Stegostoma tigrinum: one gene and its partner. The protein of the gene in region 1 purifies or fractionates together with the protein of each later gene. This does not show direct contact. Links are inferred from orthologs where the notes say so. Each region holds a gene or a part of one and is shown in the gene's direction. Other genes may lie near its edges.

The links.
Region 2: the proteins of tyrosine-protein phosphatase non-receptor type 14-like (region 1) and protein WWC2-like purify together in Homo sapiens (affinity purification with mass spectrometry, with the first as the bait; 3 studies listed by BioGRID). This does not show direct contact. The link is inferred for Stegostoma tigrinum from reciprocal best matches to the Homo sapiens genes PTPN14 and WWC2.

Annotation. Positions count from the first base shown.
Region 1 is NC_081362.1:57,057,957-57,068,502, reverse strand, and holds the start of tyrosine-protein phosphatase non-receptor type 14-like, read left to right. Parts: upstream 1-4,856; 5' UTR 4,857-5,157; exon of another isoform or gene 5,158-5,409; intron 5,410-9,856; exon of another isoform or gene 9,857-10,018; intron 10,019-10,546. UniProt on the Homo sapiens protein: Protein tyrosine phosphatase which may play a role in the regulation of lymphangiogenesis, cell-cell adhesion, cell-matrix adhesion, cell migration, cell growth and also regulates TGF-beta gene expression, thereby modulating epithelial-mesenchymal transition.
Region 2 is NC_081356.1:115,414,645-115,425,190, reverse strand, and holds the start of protein WWC2-like, read left to right. Parts: upstream 1-4,441; 5' UTR 4,442-4,695; coding exon 4,696-4,823; intron 4,824-10,546. UniProt on the Homo sapiens protein: Regulator of the Hippo signaling pathway, also known as the Salvador-Warts-Hippo (SWH) pathway.

The DNA of each region.
Region 1 (10,546 bases):
TGTAGTCCCAGAATTTATTTGCATTCTATATTGAATTTACATTTCAGTAAATGTCATATGACTCATTTACTGTGTCTGTGATCTGTAATTGTTTAAAAATTTATTATTTATGCCATTGTATCTTTATTATTTATGACAATGTATCTTCCTCTGTTAAATATGTGTAAAAATAAGTCTCTTTTCAGTGGTTACCTAAGTCCTACAAGCGATTGAATAAAATGTAAATTATAAAATAACATACAAGATGTATTTTTGTGTGCTATTAAATGCTGTCAAGTGTACCACTAGCAAAAAAGGTCAAGAATACAGAAAAGAATATAAAGGAATATAGAGGTTGAACTTCTGAGAGTTTTACTGATCGTCCACTATAACTGTGATACAGTAACATTTCACTGGGATTTACTCAGGGCCTTTGCAGATCCCTCAGTAAATGTATTTATCTGAAAATTCGTATGGAAATTCACACTACTTACATCAGTAACTACAGTGAATCCTTTCTTCAAGAGAAGTTTGTAAGTCACCCAATCACAACCTGTCCTAATCACTGTGAAACATCTCACCGTCCACCCCGCTTTGTGTTGTCTGCAAGCTTACAAATATTTATTTCCTTCAACTTAATCAGCAATATCTGCTATGAGCTCCTGGGGTCCAAGAATGCTGTCAGGGTACAGCAGTTATTATGGGTGACTTCAATCTACATATAGATTAGGCTAACCAAACTGATAGTAATGTGATGGAGGAGGATTTCCTAGAATGTATGACCAACATGTCAAGGAACCAATGAGATAGAGAGCCATCTTAGACTGGGTATTGTGTAATGAAAGAGGATTAATTAGCAACATTGTCGTACAACATCCTTTTGGGAAGATTAGCTATAATATGGTAGAATTCTTCATTAATATGGAGAGTGACACAGTTAAATCTGAGTCTAGGGTCCTCAAGTTAAAGAAAGCTAACTTTGATGGTATGAGGCATGTATTGGCTAGGATAAACTAGGCAAGGGTACTTAACAGGTTGATGGTGGATAGACAATGGCAGACATTTAGAGAACACATGGATGAACTTCAACAATTCTACATCTATGTCTTGACTTATCACAGATCATATTTATCTCTTCAGTATGGAAACAGGCCCTTCTGCCCAACAAGTCCACACTGAACCTTAGAGCATCCAACCCAGACCCATCCCCTTATAACCCACCTAACACATCCCTGAACACTATGGACAACTCATCATGGCCCATCCATCTAGCCTGCACTAGGACATTTTGGACTGTCGGAGAAAACTGGAGCACCCGAAGGAAACCCATGCAGACACGGGGAGAATGTGCAAACTCCACACAGGCAGTCACCTGAGGCTGGAATCGAACCTTGGTCCCTGGCACTGTGAGGCAGCAGTGCTAACTACTGAGCCACCGTGCTGCCCCAATAAAGGCAAGTGTCCCTATTGCCTTCTTAATTACCCTATTAACCTGCTCTGCCAACTTCAAGGATCTGTGTTCAAGCATCCCAAGATCCCTCTGTTTCTTATGAGTTTCCTTCAGTGCTTTGTGTCTTGTCACTTATTTTAATGTGCAACACCACACACATATCAGGGTTAAATTCTATCTGCCACAGATTTGACTAAACTGTCTATATCCTCCCAAAGCTCAAGACCTTCTACCTCATTGTCAACCACCTGGTCAATTTTTACGTCATCTGCAAACTTACTTATCATCTTCTCTGACATTTTCATTTACATCATTTATATATATATATAAAATCAAAAATCAAGAGGGGACCCAGCCCCAATCCCTTGGTACATCAGTGGACACTGGCCTCCAGTCACATAAACAGTCTTCTCCCAACACACTCTCTCTCCTGACACTTAATCCAATTTTGGAACCAACTTGCTAAGTTACCCTCTTTATCAGTCTCCCATGTGGAACCTCGTTGAAAGTCTTAACTGGAATTTATGTTAATTATATCAACAGCACTACACTCATTTACATACTTGGGCAGCTCATCAAAAAGTTCAGTTACATTTGTTCAGCATGACCTCTTCTGACAAAACCATGCTGACTACCCCTGAGCAAACCTTGCTCTCTAACTGGAGATTAATCTTTTTTCTTCAGAATTTTCTCAAAAGTTTCCCTATCGTTGATGTGACGCTTGCTCATGAGCACTTCACTGTTCTATTGCTGTACTATTCTTGACAGGTGAATGAGCTGTCTTCCAGTCCTCAGGCACTTCTATGGCCAAAGAGGGAGTAAAAAATTGGGTCAGGGCCCTGTGATTTCCTCCTTCAGAAAATAATTTCATGAAATGTAAATTCATGTTTATGGAGGTTTTTTTTCATAAATCCTATACAGCAATGAATACCCACCCCCTTCTTTATCAAAAGTATTTCCAGCACTTATCTGCCCCTTTTATTGGTGTTGGCAGTGGCTCATATAATATCCTAAACTGTTTACCACAACATAGAGAAATAGAGGAGAAATTAAAGAAGACAATTTAAAGCATCAACAATCAAACTTATCAGGGCCTTCAAAGGTAGTGTGTAAAGTACAAAAGCAAAGACATTGAGAAGTGAATTCCAAAGTGCTGAGGTAATGGCTCTACTATTGTTGATTGAGATGTGGACAGAAAGTGACAAAGTAAACCAGAGTCAGAAATATGGAGTCCTGCACATTGTCCCTACAAAACAGTTGGCTGAAGACTCAGGGTAACAAAGTGTGGGGCTGGATGAACACAGCAGGCCAAGCAGCATCTTAGGTGCACATAAGCTGACGTTTCGGGCCTAGACCTTTCATCAGAAAAAGGGGATGGGGAGAGGATACTATCCCAACAGACAGCATATCGCATTCTCCTGTCACACTTGTGGTTAGTGAACAACATTGGTTTCTGACATGGAAAGAGCCCAATTTTAGTTTTCTCACCACTATTTTCAAATCCATTCATGGTTTTGCTCCCTTTATTTCCAAAAATTCTTCAAACATATGACTCTCTGAGATCTGTATACCTGTACATCTCCAATTCTCACTACTTGCACACTCTCAATTTTCATCAGTCATACCTTCAGGTAGCTGAGCCCTAACCTCCCAAAAAATCTTTGTTTTTCCCTTTCTTTAAAATCCCCTCCAATCTCCCACTAGGATAAAGATTTTCGTCAGTTGTCTAAATGTATCAATGCATTCCTTAGTGCCAAATTTTATGCGATAACACTTTCAATTTAGTGCACTGCGATTACACTGGAGGAGTTATTCAAATTTAAAATGTTTTCAATGTTTCAATTGGAATATTTTTCATGGGAAGCCTTCTGGATGAGCTTAGCTAAATTGGAACTCAGGATTGTAAAATAGGCATTCAAATAGAATGAGTACTGACTGAGATTTAAAGCATGGAAGTAAGAAAGATTAAATAATATTGATGGTAAAATGTGAGGCTGAATGAACACAGCAGGCCAAGCAGCATCTCAGGAGCACAAAAGCTGACGTTTCGGGCCTAGACCTTTCATCAGAAAAAGGGGATGGGGAGAGGATACTATCCCAACAGACAGCATATCGCATTCTCCTGTCACACTTGTGGTTAGTGAACAACATTGGTTTCTGACATGGAAAGAGCCCAATTTTAGTTTTCTCACCACTATTTTCAAATCCATTCATGGTTTTGCTCCCTTTATTTCCAAAAATTCTTCAAACATATGACTCTCTGAGATCTGTATACCTGTACATCTCCAATTCTCACTACTTGCACACTCTCAATTTTCATCAGTCATACCTTCAGGTAGCTGAGCCCTAACCTCCCAAAAAATCTTTGTTTTTCCCTTTCTTTAAAATCCCCTCCAATCTCCCACTAGGATAAAGATTTTCGTCAGTTGTCTAAATGTATCAATGCATTCCTTAGTGCCAAATTTTATGCGATAACACTTTCAATTTAGTGCACTGCGATTACACTGGAGGAGTTATTCAAATTTAAAATGTTTTCAATGTTTCAATTGGAATATTTTTCATGGGAAGCCTTCTGGATGAGCTTAGCTAAATTGGAACTCAGGATTGTAAAATAGGCATTCAAATAGAATGAGTACTGACTGAGATTTAAAGCATGGAAGTAAGAAAGATTAAATAATATTGATGGTAAAATGTGAGGCTGAATGAACACAGCAGGCCAAGCAGCATCTCAGGAGCACAAAAGCTGACGTTTCGGGCCTATCATCTGATGAAGGGTCTAGGCCCGAAACGTCAGCTTTTGTGCTCCTGAGATGCTGTTTGGCCTGCTGTATTCATCCAGCCTCACATTTTATCATCTTGGAATTCTCCAGCATCTGCAGTTCCCATTATCTCAAATAATATTGATGGCTTTGTTTTTAGGGCTAAGGCGAGTTGAGTCAAAAAGAGAAGAAATATGTAGGTGGATCTACTTGGTCATGCAGTCCTTCAGCCATCGGAAGTCTGGAGCTATATAAATGCAAGCTTAAAGTCAACGCCTTTAAAGTCCAGCATCACCCACATGGTGTCGCTCGTGAGCTGGTCTGAACAAGTAAGTGTCATCGTTCAGTGGTATATCCACATAGCATAACAATCCCACAGCTCGGTTAACGAACTGTGTGAATTCCCAATGAAAGAAAATGCATTGCTGCAAGAATTCATTACCTGGTAGGTGTTCAATGCAGTGTACTTTTAATGTATAAAGAGCGCAATGTTGATTTTAATCCGGCCAAGAGGAATCGTGCAGCACACTGTTAAGAGAGCAATCCCCCAACCGATTACGCTAAAATATTGCATGGGCAAAGTAACCAAATCGATTACATAGCTAAAGTGTTGCAGTACAGCTTTAAATCGACGTTGCCTGGGTGTGTTTTCGGTGTGTGACCATTAAGAAGCAACGACATCTCAGCCCTTCATCAGCTCACATTCCTCACATTCCACATTTCTGATGTCACGAGGCGCAGATCTTTTTTTCCAAACCCACAAACTGTGACCATGTTATTTAATCGAAAATAGTCTCGGCTGCAAGGGGACGACTAGGAAAAAAGAAAGGAGGGAGGTTAAAACAAAACAACTTGGCGATCACAAAGGCTCTCGGACCGCTGGCAGCTGCTGAAGAGTTCAGAATAGCAAACAAGAAAGTGGGCAGAAAGAAAGTTTCACCAAACAAAAGTAGTTCTTGAGCGGATGAGGTAGGGCTCTCCGTGTAACTTCAAACACTTCTGGTGAGCAGACGGACCCTGGTCCCGCGGTCCTTTAGACGAGTGGATCCTTTATCCAGAAAGGGATTTTTGTGCTAGTTTCTGCTTGTGGAAACTTTTCTCCTCCCCCCCCCCCCAACTCCCCAAACAAGAAAGGAAGAAAACACGTTGGAAAGTTTGAAGGGACGCGTGCAGTTTGTGGTTTTAATGGACTGATCAGACACAATAAAGACATGTAAACAGGTAAGGGAACTGGAGATCCTAAGTCCAAGAGCTTGCCTATTTGATTGACTATAGAAAGATAGATATACCAGAGAAGCATAGCCTTTTGATCCAAGATTTCTACTTGTCCTTGAGTGGTTTGTAGGAGTAAGTCAGACATGCCGATTAAAGGGAGGTTGTCTGCCTTACTCTCCGGCTCAAATGCCAGCATTCCTCGACAGCCCCCTTTTTTTCCAACCGCCTTGATGGTGAGGGGAAGGTCCAAGCCAAGGTATGACAGCGAGTATTTGTTTAGATTCAACTCTTCACAATACAATTCCTATAACAGAAATCTATGGCCCGCCCTCCAAGGAGGCTAACTTCAGCCTGTACTTTGTTGCAGTATATTTAAAGAGACCGTCTCGCGTTTCGGTGGCTAGGCTGACTAATGAAATAATTGTGAAAATGCCATCTCTGCCGAAATTCCACACTTAAAAGATGCTTTACTGGAATAAACGCTTTGCAAAAGTTTCCAGACTGTAGTGTAAACTGATAGATGAAGGCGATGACTCTTTGTGTGGGAGACAAGGGTTAATTTCTTTTACTTAATCATAAGGAATTGCATTGTTCAGATGAATTCTCAAAATATGAAAGCAAAATTTTAAATAAGAATATGATTTTTAAGTGCATTACTTGAATTTTGACGTTGGATCGTTGCTCAAATTTGTCAAAATATGGCTTTTTGTTCCAAGTTGGCTTCTGCATTGTTGCGATTCTGTTTTCTGATTGAAGTACCGTATTGGAAACAAAAGATGGTGTTGACTTTGAGAAGACAGTTCACTTAGTGAACGCATCTTGCAATAGAATTTGCAGTTTTACCATTTAATATTAACACTTGTGTAAAAAATTGGAATATTTGTATAAAGTTTTGAATGAAGCCTCCAACTATATTTTCATATTTATTAAATTTTACATATTTTCAATGTGCCTCTTCGAGCAGACTAAATTTGACAACATTTAGTTACAGCAGTGTAAACAATCTGATCTGAATTCCCATTTGTCACTGATCCACATTATGGACTAATCAACTATAAACTCGCAGTTTTGAAGCATATGACCTATAGGTATGCTGGAGTTCAAATTTGGGGGAAATCTGTGGCATAAACACCAGACGAAATCAACCTTGCATTAATGTTGTCACATTTTTCAAGAAGATCCAGCAGTTTAATGAATCCTAGACTTGCACTATGGTAACTCTGCTATGAAAAGCAATAGGAATTTTGGACTGAAGCAATAAAATCAGGAATAATGGACAATCTGATTATTGTTTATATATTGGAATTATGTTTGTTACAGAAGTGTGGAGATAACACTACCTCTTAAATAAACCTGTTATGATATCAGGTTATGTTTACCACGCTGTTGGATGACCTTAGCTTTGATTAATGTTCACTGTTCAAAACCAGAACCCAATATCTTCAGCTCTTCTTGGCTTTCGTTTAAAGTCTAAGGGATCCAAAACATTTGACAGAAATATATTACTGTAAGTTGGCTGCATTACAATGGTGACTACACTGCAAATGTACTTCATTGCTGTAAATCGCTGAGATGTCTACTGCACATGGAAAGCACAATATCATTGCATGTCATTCTTTTAATTTTATTTTGAAAAAATGAATGTTCAATGTAATCCTTTTTAACCAATTTGAATATATAAATATTTCCTCAATTTTCAGATTTTTATTTAACGTATTTTCACCTAATCTCATGCCTGCAACTGAAATTGTGTACAAAGTCAGTTTGTAGCCCATCACTAATACAACTGCCAGTCGGCATTAGAGACCACACAGATGTGAGTCCCTAGTCATGCTGTGTCCCTCTGTTACTTTCTCATTGCTGAGTCATAATCCCAATGCTCCCCCCTTAACAATACTGTGGGCATATCTACACCATATGGACTGCAGTGGATTAACAAGGCAGCTCACTACCACCTGCTTATGGACTATTGATGAGGTAATAAATGCTGGCCTTGCCAGACTGTATCCTGTGAATGGATATTTTAAAATAAAAGTTGCACTCAGCTGCAATCTCCTTTTGATGGGTTTCACGGTGATGCTGTGTCTACCTGTTGGGCAGTTGCAAAAAATCCCATGGTACAGTTCAAAGAAGACCTTATTTTCGAAGCGTCTGCTAGATTTTCGATATTACAAAAATGATTAAAATTTGAAAAGCATGTAATTGACATTGCAGAGTTTTGGGATGTTCTAAGGTCGTGAAAGGCATGATAAAAATGAAAATAAAAGCAATATACTGTGGATGCTGGAGATCTGAACTAATTTAAAAAATGTGTTGGAGAAAGTTAGCAAGTTTAGCAGCATCTGTGGAGTGAGAAGGAGTCAACAATTTAAGCCCCACGGCTTTTCTTCCGAACTCTTCTGCCCTGAAGAGTTATATTGTGCTCAAATTGTTAACTCTGTTTCTCTCTCTACAGGTGCTGCCAGGCCTAAGTTTCTCCAGGACTTTCTGTTGATTTAAAAATGCAAGTTCTTCAGATGATGTTAACTGGTTCTACATTTATTACTGAATTCTAGATGTCTTGATAAGGCATTGGCAGGTCTTTTTAAATTGTTACGTGGTGGTGTTCCTCCAGTGAAGCCAGCCCTGTCCAAAGTGCCTAATCACAATGCGAATTTTATTTGATTTTGTTTAGAACAATTGAATACAGTTTTGTGATCTATTGACAGTTCAGTAAAATGCCAATTAACTTTTCTGAAATTATATTTACATGCACATTTGTTTTGTGTGTATCGGGTGTGATGCCCTTCAACAACTGTTTTTAAAAAAATGAACTTGGATTTGTCCGGCAACTTTCGTGATCTGTGCACCTCAAACTGCCTTAAAATGAACAAAGTATGTTTAAAGTGCAGTCACTGTTGCAGTGTAGTGAACCTAGCAGGCACTTTGCATCCAGCAATCTCCCACAAAGAACAAATGTGATAAGACCCACGTAAAAATGGTAATAGAAATGAGCCAAAACTCAAAATAAAATTTCTTCTCCCTGCATCCTACAACATTTTGAGACCCTCAGTTCTCTAATATACTAATTCTTGCCTTTTTTGAGAATTTCTGATTCGAATTGATTTTTTTGGTAACTATGCCTTTGCTTGAAAAGCCCTAAACTCTGGACTTCAATCCAGAGCCTGTTTTTAAGTCATTCCTGCTTTGAATTGCTGGCAGAAATTTGGCTTTTTGTTTCCAATATTTTTATTTGTTTGTGCTTGATTTGAATCAAGACTGACAGCACTTTCTGTGTTGATGAAAGAAGGTGGCAAATTTGCATTGCCCAGGTGTGGGCAAAAAGGGTGCTGCCAGCCTTTGTAAATCACTTGTCTAAATATTTGAGTAAACAGAAGACTGTCTCATGTGCTGGTTTCCAATATCCACCATAGTCAATTTAAATATTCTGATGAAAATTTTAGCGCAGAATAATATCATTGACATTGCCTTTTGTTTTGAATGCAGCCATTGCTTTGCAAGCTGGATTTTCAATGTTATTGTGGACTGCAGCATCTGTCTTGGCTGTGTTGTGAAATTGTGTAGATGCTGACACAATTTTAGACTCTGTTTTCAGGTTGTAATTGCCTCACATAGGTCAGTTCTAGGGAATGATTGGACAAAAGTCAGATGATAGTAATTCACACTGAATTACAGAGTGATGAAGTTAATTTTTATTTTAAAAAAAACTCTGTTTCTACACCCTTTTGGGATTTTACATATGATTAGTAGGCACTTTTTTCACAACTTTGGTGCACATGCCTATTCATTTTCTGTATGTAGTGATTGACTGAGAGCCGACACTTGCCTGTGAATTTTGAAATTTATTTGTTTTCATGAGAAAGCAGAGGTCCCTTTTGGCTCTGTGGCAACCTATTTGTTTTAGAAGCACTATTTAACTTGCAGGTGGCAAGTCACATTTACAAGTGATGTTTATTGCAACTGATTTTGCTGTTTTAGTTGCATGCAAGTAAATCCTGTTTAGCAATTTCAGATCCAAACCAATTCCATTCCATCCTTTTGAAATGTCAGGATTACAATTTTATTTTAAACTTTTAATAAAATGAGCATTAATGTATTCATTTCAAAACCAATTGATGCTGATTCACTCTATTAAACTGACTGGTTTTATTCTGCACATTGTTTGAAATTAAACTCCAGAACAATGTAATAGAAAAAATACAAACTTGCCTTTCTGCGAAATAATCGTGCACAAAAATAAAGTATGCAAATGATTAAAATACTAAATTTGAAACAAATTTAGACTTATTTTTCAAATGTTTACGGTAACAATGGATTTATGTATGAATTGTAAAACTTATGAAATTATAGTATTCTTTCTCCGTTATTAGGCAGTTTAAGATTGAGTGCAAGTTTTTTTTTGTAGATTTACTTTATTTACTGTAATTGCTTCTGTTCTGCTTCTGCCAGCAATATTACCAAAAGTGATGGTTCAGTAGTTGGTCAATCACCTGATCAACTGAACTCCAGAATGCCCATGTAGATCTCTGGATGGCAGACCCATCATACGTGGAAGTGGTCAACGAGTTCTTTCTTTATATCATCTGATGTTGTCCTAGAAGAATGACTAAATGAAGTATGTACTCATCCTATTGACAGTCCATGTTATATTCACCAAAGCAGATTGCTGATTTGAAAGTAATACAGTGCCTGCTTGTTTTAACAGTTATAAAAACCAGCCAGTGCTACATGAAGCCAGATGCTTGTTTTCACCACTACAAGTGTACCTTCAACAACGCTGGTCCTGTTATTAATTTTCTAATCTCTGCTTTAAGGGACCAACACTTGCTTAAGCTACTTTTTCCTTTCTTTATGTAATTGAAGCTTTTATGGTCAGTTTTTATATTTCTTGTGGTTTTCTCTCATACTCTAATTTCTCCATCTCAATTTTTAGTCATCCTTTGCAGGTTTCTAAAATTGTCCCAGCCTTCTGAGCCATGCTAACCTTTGCAACATCGTGCATCGTTTCTGTGCTTATACCATAATTAAATTCCTTACTAATCACAAATTCTTCTCAGAATAACTTCAGAATGTAATCTCTACTGATTAGAAAATATCTTTTACAAAGGTGTCATTGCTGTTCGTTTGAGTAGGTCTTTGACCA
Region 2 (10,546 bases), on another chromosome or scaffold:
CTGGCCTCAGCGATGTAAAGGTCAGTGCGCCATACTACAGCTGCGCCTCCCTTGTCTGCGGGTTTGATGGTGAGGTTGGGATTGGAGCGGAGGGCTGCACGTTCTGCAGGGAAGAGGTTGGAGTGGGTGAGAGGGGTGGAGACGTTCAGGCGGTTGATGTCTCGATGGCAGTTGGAGATGAAGAGGTTGAGGGAGGGTAGGAGGCCTGGGGGTGGTGTCCCGAGACATCAACTGCCTCAACCTCTCCACCCCTTGATGTCTCGGGACAGGAAGTGCTACACTTGCCCCCACACCTCCTCCCTCACCCACATCCCAGGCCCCAAGATGACTTTCCACATTAAGCAGATGTTCACCTGCACATCTGCCAATGTGATATACTGCATCCACTGTACCCGGTGTGGCCACCTCTACATCGGGGAAACCAAGCAGAGGCTTGGGGACCGCTTTGCAGAACACCTCCACTCAGTTCGCAATAAACAACTGCACCTCCCAGTCGCGAACCATTTCAACTCCCCCTCCCATTCTTTTGATGACATGTCCATCCTGGGCCTCCTGCAGTGCCACAATGATGCCATCCGAAGGTTGCAGGAATAGCAACTCATATTCCGCTTGGGAACCCTGCAGCCCAATGGTATCAATGTGGATTTCATAAGCTTCAAAATTTCCCCTCCCCACAATGCATCCCAAGACCAGCCCAGCTCGTCCCCGCCTCCCTAACTTGTTCTTCCTCTCTCCTATCCCCTCCTCCTATCTCAAGTCACACCTCCATTTCCTCCCTACTAACCTCATCCCACCCCCTTGGCCAGTCTGTCCTCCTCAGACTGACCTATCCCCTCCCTACCTCCCCACCTACACCCACCTCTACTGGCTCCATCCCCGCCCCTTTAACTTGTCTGTGTTCTCTCTACCTATCTTCTCCTCTATTCACCTTCGATCCGCCTCCCCCTCTCTCCCTATTTATTTCAGAACCCTTTCCCGATCCCCCTTTTCTGATGAAGGGGCGAGACCCGAAACATCAGCTTCTGTGCTCCTAAGATATTGCTTAGCCTGCTGTGTTCATCCAGCTCCACAGTTTGTTATCAAAGCATTAATGTAGATAGTTTTGACCAGAAACGCATAAGACATCAGAACAGAAGTAGGCCATTCAGCCCATCCAATCTGCGCTGCAACTCAACATGTTCATGGTCTGATAAATCTCCTCTATTCTCCTGTCTTTTTCCCATAACCGTTGATTCTCTTACTGATTAAAAATACACTGAATGAACCAGCCTCACTAGCCTTTTGTGATAAATAAATCTACAGATTCCCCACTTTCTGAGGGAAGAAATTCTTCCTCATCTCTACCTTAAATATGTGAACCCTTATTCTGAGATTACGCCCTATAGTGGAAGACTCTCCCACAAGTGGAAACACCTTTCTGCGATAGAGATAATGGGAACTGCAGATGCTGGAGGATCCAAGATAATAAAATGTGAGGCTGGATGAACACAGCAGGCCAAGCAGCATCTCAGGAGCACAAAAGCTGTGCTTCTGAGATGCTGCTTGGCCTGCTGTGTTCATCCAGCCTCACATTTTACAACCTTTCTGCATCTTCTCTGTCAAGTCCTATAAAAATATTGTATGTTTCAATAAGCTCACCTCCCATTCTTTTATATTCCAACAAGTCCAGGCCCAATCTACACAACCTCTCATCATAAGACAGTCCCTCCTTGCATTCGAGATAATGGGAACTGCAGATGCTGGAGAATTCCAAGATAATAAAATGTGAGGCTGGATGAACACAGCAGGCCAAGCAGCATCTCAGGAGCACAAAAGCTGACGTTTCGGGCCTAGACCCTTCATCAGAGAGGGGGATGGGGAGAGGAGGTGGAATAAATAGGGAGAGAGGGGGAGGCGGACCGAAGATGGAGACTAAAGAAGATAGGTGGAGAGAGTATAGGTGGGGAGGTAAGGAGGGGATAGGTCAGTCCAGGGAAGACGGACAGGTCAAGGAGGTGGGATGAGGTTAGTAGGTAGCTGGGGGTGCGGCTTGGGGTGGGAGGAAGGGATGGGTGAGAGGAAGAACCGGTTAGGGAGGCAGAGACAGGTTGGACTGGTTTTGGGATGCAGTGGGTGGGGGGGAAGAGTTGGGCTGGTTGTGTGGTGCAGTGGGGGGAGGGGACGAACTAGGCTGGTTTAGGGATGCAGTAGGGGAAGGGGAGATTTTGAAACTGGTGAAGTCCACATTGATACCATATGGCTGCAGGGTTCCCAGGCGGAATATGAGTTGCTGTTCCTGCAACCTTCGGGTGGCATCATTGTGGCAGTGCAGGAGGCCCATGATGGACATGTCATCTAGAGAATGGGAGGGGGAGTGGAAATGGTTTGCGACTGGGAGGTGCAGTTGTTTGTTGCGAACTGAGCGGAGGTGTTCTGCAAAGCGGTCCCCAAGCCTCCGCTTGGTTTCCCCAATGTAGAGGAGGCCGCACCGGGTACAGTGGATGCAGTCTACCACATTGGCAGATGTGCAGGTGAACCTCTGCTTAATGTGGAATGTCATCTTGGGGCCTGTGATAGGGGTGAGGGAGGAGGTGTGGGGACAAGTGTAGCATTTCCTGCGGTTGCAGGGGAAGGTGCCGGGTGTGGTGGGGTTGGAGGGCAGTGTGGAGCGAACAAGGGAGTCACGGAGAGAGTGGTCTCTCTGGAAAGCAGACAGGGGAGGAGATGGAAAAATATCTTGGGTGGTGGGGTCGGATTGTAAATGGCGGAAGTGTCGGAGGATGATGCGTTGTATCCGGAGGTTGGTAGGGTGGTGTGTGAGAACGAGGGGGATCCTCTTTGGGCGGTTGTGGCGGCGGCGGGGTGTGAGGGATGTGTTGCGGGAAATACGGGAGACGCGGTCAAGGGCATTCTCGATCACTGTGGGGGGAAAGTTGCGGTCCTTAAAGAACTTGGACATCTGGGATGTGTGGGAGTGGAATGTCTTATCGTGGGAGCAGATGTGGCGGAGGCGGAGGAATTGGGAATAGGGCATGGAATTTTTGCAGGAGGGTGGGTGGGAGGAGGTGTATTCTAGGTAGCTGTGGGAGTCGGTGGGCTTGAAATGGACATCAGTTACAAGCTGGTTGCCTGAGATGGAGACTGAGAGGTCCAGGAAGGTGAGGGATGTGCTGGAGATGGCCCAGGTGAACTGAAGGTTAGGGTGGAAGGTGTTGGTGAAGTGGATGAACTGTTCGAGCTCCTCTGGGGAGCAAGATGTGGCGCCGATACAGTCATCAATGTACCGGAGGAAGAGGTGGGGTTTGGGGCCTGTGTAGGTGCGGAAGAGGGACTGTTCCACGTAACCTACAAAGAGGCAGGCATAGCTGGGGCCCATGCGGGTGCCCATGGCCACCCCCTTAGTCTGTAGGAAGTGGGAGGAGTCAAAAGAGAAGTTGTTGAGTGTGAGGACGAGTTCAGCTAGGTGGATGAGAGTGTCGGTGGAGGGGAACTGGTCGGGCCTGCGGGACGGGAAGCAGCGGAGGGCCTTGAGGCCCTCCTTGCATTCGCCTAGTGAACCTTTGTTGAACTGCTTCCAATGCCTGAGAGAAGGGGCCTAAAATTGTTCACAGTACTTCAACTGTGGTCGAACTTCTGTAGTTTTGGCAAGACCTCCCTTTTGTTTATTCTCCATCCCCTTTGAGGTAAAGGCATGTGACTTCCCTACTGCGTGCTGAACATTGATGTTAACATTTTGGGATTCATGGACCAAATCCATCCATTCTGTCGCTTTCCACATTCTTGCTGGTTCACCCAATGTATAATATTACCTCAGCATTTGGGCCGATTCAGCCAATTCCAGCAGAATCGGAGTAATACAACCAGCAGCAAGTAAGCAGAACTCCAACTGTTTATTTTATGTTCTTACAGATGCTGCTATTGACTCACCTTGACTATAAATGTGAATTTTAACAATATTGCTAACTCCTCCTTTCCCGGTCTCTCTTATGGTCCTGTAACCTTCTGACATATTGACAAAATACCCAGGTCAGATAAGTCTGGAGTAGTTGGCCTCGGACCCTGGCCTCTAGTTGTGTTTCTGAACTCACGCTGCTTCATGCTGGATGCTTTAAAGGGAGGGGGAAATACATTAGTAATGGCTATACATATCGGCAAAGCGGTTCAGTTTTAGGATTGCCTCAGACCAGTGGTTGGAGGTGGAGGGGGGATGGTGGAATACAAAGGTGCATTCCCTCCCTTCAGCTTCATTTACAGAACTCAAGCAAAAACAAAAGAGAAATAAAATAGTTCTCTCGCAGGCACAGATTTAGGAAAAAAAAACAGGCAAGGGCTGAACATAATCAAATGGGCTGGCACATCTGAAATGTGTCTTGTCGGAGGAAGTTGTATTTGGCGGCTGTGCGCCGGCAGTATTAATATTTGATAAGATCTTGAGGGGAGGAATTTGTATGCAAATGAAATAGACGCTAATCCAAGCGACAGCCGAAGCTGTTTTCTGTCTCTCTCTCTCTCTCTCTCGTGGGTGTGTGTTGGGGGGGGATTCCTGGATGGAGTTAAGATGGAGGACCAGATCGTTATAAGGATGTAAATGATCGCAGAGAGGCTTCTTTTTTCTGGGGGGGGCATATTAAAGAAAACATTCCCGCAGCCCCCCACCTCCCTCCCTTCCTTCCTTCCTCCTGCCCGGACTTATGGAGGGTGTTACAACACTACAACATGCATAGGAAAGGCAATGGAGAGCTCCCTTTGCCGGATGGTTGGGAAGAAGCGAGAGATTACGACGGTAAAGTCTTCTACATTGACCACAACACCAAGCAGACCAGCTGGATCGATCCCCGCGACAGGTAGGAGGACAGTTTGCAACACGGGAGGAGAAGGGAACGGGTTCCAGCGCTTGCTAACAGCAGCGAGGCATTTGGCTGTGAGTCCGGACCAGAGCAGCCTGCTCCGGACAACGGGAGCTTGTCTTATACACCCTTCTCATCCCCCCAATAGTTTACCCGACTCCCTGAGTGCTCCCACCAACTTTAATACACCGGGGAGCACACGCGAAATACCAGAATGTTTAAACTCCTGCAGTGCAGATTTCACTGGAATGCTTTGGAATTTTTTTTTTGTTTTGGAGTGGGAGGAGATTTCCTCGTTCAAATCAATTTATTATATCTATTCCCTTCCTCCCCAATATTGCTGTATGTACACCCCCCCTCCCCATCCCGGTGCAGTGTTTGTCCAGGTATCCTGTTGAGGTGGATCGCCGCTTTCTGTGCAGCGATGTGAAGGGGAAGTTTGCAGCAATCTTTCACAACTTTTTTTTCCCTTGGTTGGAGATAAAGATTCCAAAGGGATTTGAAAGTGCCGGCAGTGCGAGGATGTTGTGATGAAGGGTTTTTGTTGTTGTCGTGGTTGTTGGGACATGGCCGAGGAGGAGCTGGGTCTGGTAGTTCACAGGTCACCCAGATCCCAGGGAAAACCGAACAATTCGCTGATGAGGGACAGGGCGATGTCTGGGGAAAGGACATTTGTAAATACGTTAGCAGTTGGATAGCCCCCATTGATAACGGATCCCAACCTCCTTTCCTCCTACTTTTGTGCTGGCTGGGAGCTTTCTCTCCGTTTTCACTGGGTTCTGGAACCTTTGGGCCCCATTCCCCTCTCCCCATTCATTCTTCTTCTGTCCAACGACTCCCTCCCCTCCTACTCCATTTCCTTCACTTTCTTCCTCGCTCATCCCTCAGAACCCTGCCCTCAGCCTCCTTTCTCTCCAATTTCCTCACCAACCTGCCTCCTTTTCCTCTCTCCCCACTCCATTTTGCAGCCTCCAGCAATCTTTCCCTTCCTCCCTCACATCCCCATTACCACCTGCCCCCCCACCCACCTCACCCCCACCTTCATCTCCCTGTCTCTACTCTCCTTCCTTGCTCCATATACTCTGCCTCACGTCTCATACCATCCCTCTGGTCCTGCATTGCTCCCCTCCCTCCTCCCTCCTCTCTTCCTCCACCTCTTCTCCCTCATTCTTTTCCATCTCTGTCTTACTACCCTTCCACTTTATTCCCCTGACTTTCCACTTTACCCCTCCTTCTCCTGTCACTCCTCGGCCCCTTAACAATCTCTCCCTCTTCCTAACCCTTTGCCTCTCTTCTATCCCACTATGTCTCCTCTTTCCTGCCACCTCCAGACCTCTTAACCCCTCCTCACCATCCTTCTCAGTCATCAACCCTCCTCCCCCTCTCCATCCTCAATCCCCACACTCTTCTCTGCCCCCTCTCCGTCCACCCCCACAAACTCCTTTTTCCATCCCCCCAACCCTTCTTCCCGCCTCCTGTCCATCCTTCCCCACAATGGGACCAAGTTACTTTCCTGGCCTCTGGGCCCTGCCATCATGCACTGCTGGACTGAATACGGGTAGGAAGTCAGAGCTGCTGGGCGGTGGGGGAGTAAAACAGTCAAGGAAGACGTTTTCAGAGATAATGGGAACTGCAGATGCTGGAGAATCCAAGATAACAAAGTGTGAAACTGGATGAACACAGCAGGCCAAGCAGCATCTCAGGAACACAAAAGCTGACGTATCGGGCCTAGACCCTTCAGTGCTCCTGAGATGCTGCTTGGCCTGCTGTGTTCATCCAGTTTCACACTTTGTTATCAAGGAAGATGTTGTGGCGGAATGGGACAGAGTTGATGGGAGATAGTAAGAACTGCCGAAGCTGGAGTCAGAGTCAACACAGTGTGGAGCTGGAGGAACACAGCAGGTCAGGTAGCATCAGAGGAGCAGGAAAGTTGACATTTCGGGCCTGCTGGAACACAAGCTGAAAGTGAGAGGCTAATATTGCTGAGCTGCCAGACCTGCTTTCCCTGAGTGTGAGGGTATGGTATTCCTAGCATTAAGAAAGTTTCATTTACAGAACCAAAACTTTGATGCAAATGGAGATGAGCATATCTGATAAATAATTGGTTTGAAATTTTAATTCCCTGCAGTTTGAGTTGAATGAAATGGATCACTCGTCACTTTGTTTGCAGATTTCTATCTCGGATTGATAGTTGGTTGTTACTGTGATGATGTGAGTTCCTTTTTATTTACATGTATGAATACTTGGGCCTCGCGAAGTGCTGCTGGTTTCATGCAAATTGTTGCTTTTGAGACTTTCATTAGAATGTTGCAATTGGCATTCTCTGAACAGTCAGTTTACAAGGTCAGTTGTGGCACAGTGATATGTCCCTACACTGAGCTGGAGCCCTGGCTTTAAGACCCACTGGTTCAAGAGGTGTTTAATAACATTGCTGAACAGGTTGATTAGAAAACAGAGACAATAAGGTGTCGAGCTGGATAAACGCAGCGGGCCAAGCAGCATCAGAGGAGCAGGAAAGCTGACGTTTTGGGTCTGGACCCTTTCTGACAAAGGATCTGCTGTGTCCATCCAGCTCTATACCTTGTTCTCTCAGATTCTCAAGCATCGGCAGTTCCTACTAGCTCTTGATTAGAAAACAGTTGTTTTTAAATGGCCCTGTGGATAGGCAGCCACTTCTGGCTCCCACCCTGGACTCCCAGAGTGCCACTTTGCACTTTGAAACTTTCAAAGGCTGTTCATTGCTCTTGGAAAATACAACACTTCCAGGTGTCCCCACTGTCGTCAAAGCTCGGTGCAAGCACAGCAGTGTGGTATTTCAAAGTTTGTGGGTAGTGGAGTTGAGATTTCCAGTTGTTTTGTTATTGCTGAACGTGAATGCTCCATTTCGTGGTTGGAGAGGGAAAGTCAATGGGACCAGTTGTTTGCTTCTGCATAAGAAAGTTTTCGAGTCTGTGCCCCACTTCCAGAGACTTGAGCACAACATTGACAGTGGTGTCACACAGTTGGAGCTACCACCCTTGGCATAGGTCATCCATAGCACGGTTTTGCAGAGTAGGGAGCATTGTCTTGATGTCTAAGTCAACACTGCCAAAGTCGCTAAACAGGCTTAAGTGGCTTAGCATGGTAAATGATGAGACAATGTTTCCCCTCATTGGAGAGTCTAGGACCAGAGGGAATTGTCTCAGAATAAATATGTGCCAATTTAAGACTGAGATGCAGAGGAATTTCATCTCCCAGAGGATTATGAGTCTTTGGAACTTCTTGCCACAGTGAGCTCTGGGGGCAAAGTCATTGTGTATATGTGTGGCTGAGGTAGATAGATTCTTGATCAGCAGGGTTACGGGGAAAAGGTAGGACAGTGGATATGAGGAATGTCAGATCAGCTGTGATCTTATTGAAAGATGAAGCAGATTTGATGGGCCAAATGGCCTACTCCTGTTCCTGTTTCTTATGGTCTTAAGGTTGTTATTGCATTGGTGTGAGGTCTTGCTATGCCCACGTTGGCCACCATTTTTCCTGCATTGCAACAGTGCAACATTGTAGCACTTCAAGTATACTTTGGTGATTGTGAATGATTTCGGAACATCTTGAAACTGTGATATATACTGTGTAATTGGAAGAAACACAAAAAATGCTGGTGAAACTCATCAGGTATGGCAGCCTGACAAAAGTACTATTGCACTCAAAATGTTAACTCTGTTTCTGTCTCCTCAGATGCTGCCAGACCAGCTGAGTTTCTCCAGTACTTTGTCTTTTTAGTTCAGATCTCCAGTATCTGCAGTGTTTTATTTTCATTTAAATTTACAAATGGAAATTTTTCTTTGGGTTTCAGTCTGATGTGTTCTGAAGCTAGATTTCTCTGGCATATAGACTTGTTGCTCCTTGGTCACCAAGTTGTAAATTCAGAATTTCTGAAGGTTTTTGAGCCAATTGTACTCTACGTGGTTGGCCATTTCTGTGTCTAGTTTACTCCCTTTTTGCAAAGGTCATCTGACAAATTGATCTATTGAGTTCTCATTGCTTAACTTTGAGATAGATGCTGCTTACTGGGATTCACTTTGTTCATGAAGATCGTTTTCAATCTGAATTGTGCTTTTGTGCTGATGGGTCAGTGAGTAAATGTGATATAAATTGTGGAGCTGAGCCATATAGTGCCAGAGTGAGGCATCTATTTTCAGTGCTTGGGGAAGGTGAAACTCAACCTTTAAAAGGCAGCAGAAAAATCCCAAAAACTGTTACAAATTGTGCTGATAATTGTTGGATTATAAACTGCATTTTATGCCATCTTTGTTGTTGTGTGGACTCCAGGGATCAGTTTTTGTGAGCCACTTCCAGCAATTGCATGGCCAAATCCAGTACACATTGTCGAGAGTTCTGTTGAGATGAACACTGCTGTTCGACAATCATCGGGAGACATTGAAGCAGGAAAAAGCAATTCAGTTGGAGTGTCCTTTGGCTTTCCCATTTCACAGAGAGTGGCTGGAATCTGGTATTCTTAGCCCAGTGACAACAGCAACAACAACTGTATTTAAATGGTGTTTTAGCACAGCAAAAAATCCTGAGGATGTTCACAACTTGATGCTAAGTATCAGAAGGAGATATTAGGACAGGTCGAAGTGGCCACTTTTACTGAGTATTTTAAAGGAAAGAAGAGAGGGAGGAAGGTTTAAGGAGAGCTGTCAGCAGTTCACCATGTAGACAACTGAAGGCACAGGCACCGATGCTGGAGCAGTAGAAGCCAGAGACATGCAAGATGTCAAAATTGGATGATCTCTGAGGGTATTGGTGCCAGAACCGATGACAAAAATAGCAAGAAGTAAGGCCTAGAACAAGGATGAGAAGTTTAACACTGAAGTGTTGCTAGACCAAAAGTGCAGGAACACAGAGGATGGTGGGTGATTGGGGCCTAGTGTGAGCTAGGATGAGCTCAAGTTTAATGGAGAATGCAAAATGGAGAGCTAGCCATGACAACACTGGAATAAAGGTAATAATAATAGTAATCCTGTGGTAATAAAGGCAAAGAAGAGGATTCAGCAGTAAATAAACTGAACAAAATACTTCGATAAGCAACAGCGTGTGGAGTGTCAGTGGAAGTATGTCTTACAGTTCATGGAAAATGAATTGAAGCTATTGTCAACCGGATCAGAAAGGTGCAGTCAGAGGGTACTTTTTAAAAAAGTGTTTTTCATGTGGGTTGTGGGATTCTTACAAAGCTGTTAATACATATTAGAGTAGCAGGTAAAATACAGAAGCATTGCACCTGTTATCCATTGTCAATGAAAGAAAGTCGGGCTTTAGGTAGCAGGATTACACAACTGTAATCACACTGAAGTAGATGGATTTAGCACCGTACCAGTGGTGGTGCTCTGATGCATATTTATTTTAATGGCATTGTATTTATTATTTTGTAAGATGGTAGTGAAAAGAACCCATGGAGATGAGAAAATGTCTTGCAGCCAGTTGTTATGATTTGGAATGCTCTGCCTGAAAGCATGCTAGAAGCAAATTCACTTGTAACTTTCAAAAGAGGATTGAATACATGTGAAAAGAAAAATGTCAGGGCTATGGGAGGCAGAGGAACTGGGTTATATTAGCTGTTTCTAAGAACCAGTATAGGTATAATGGGGTGGATGGCCTCCTTTATGTGGATCAAAGGAAGATTTAGTGATGTAGCACCTCTCATAATCCACAGGGACTCCGAAAGCTCCTCACAGTCAGCG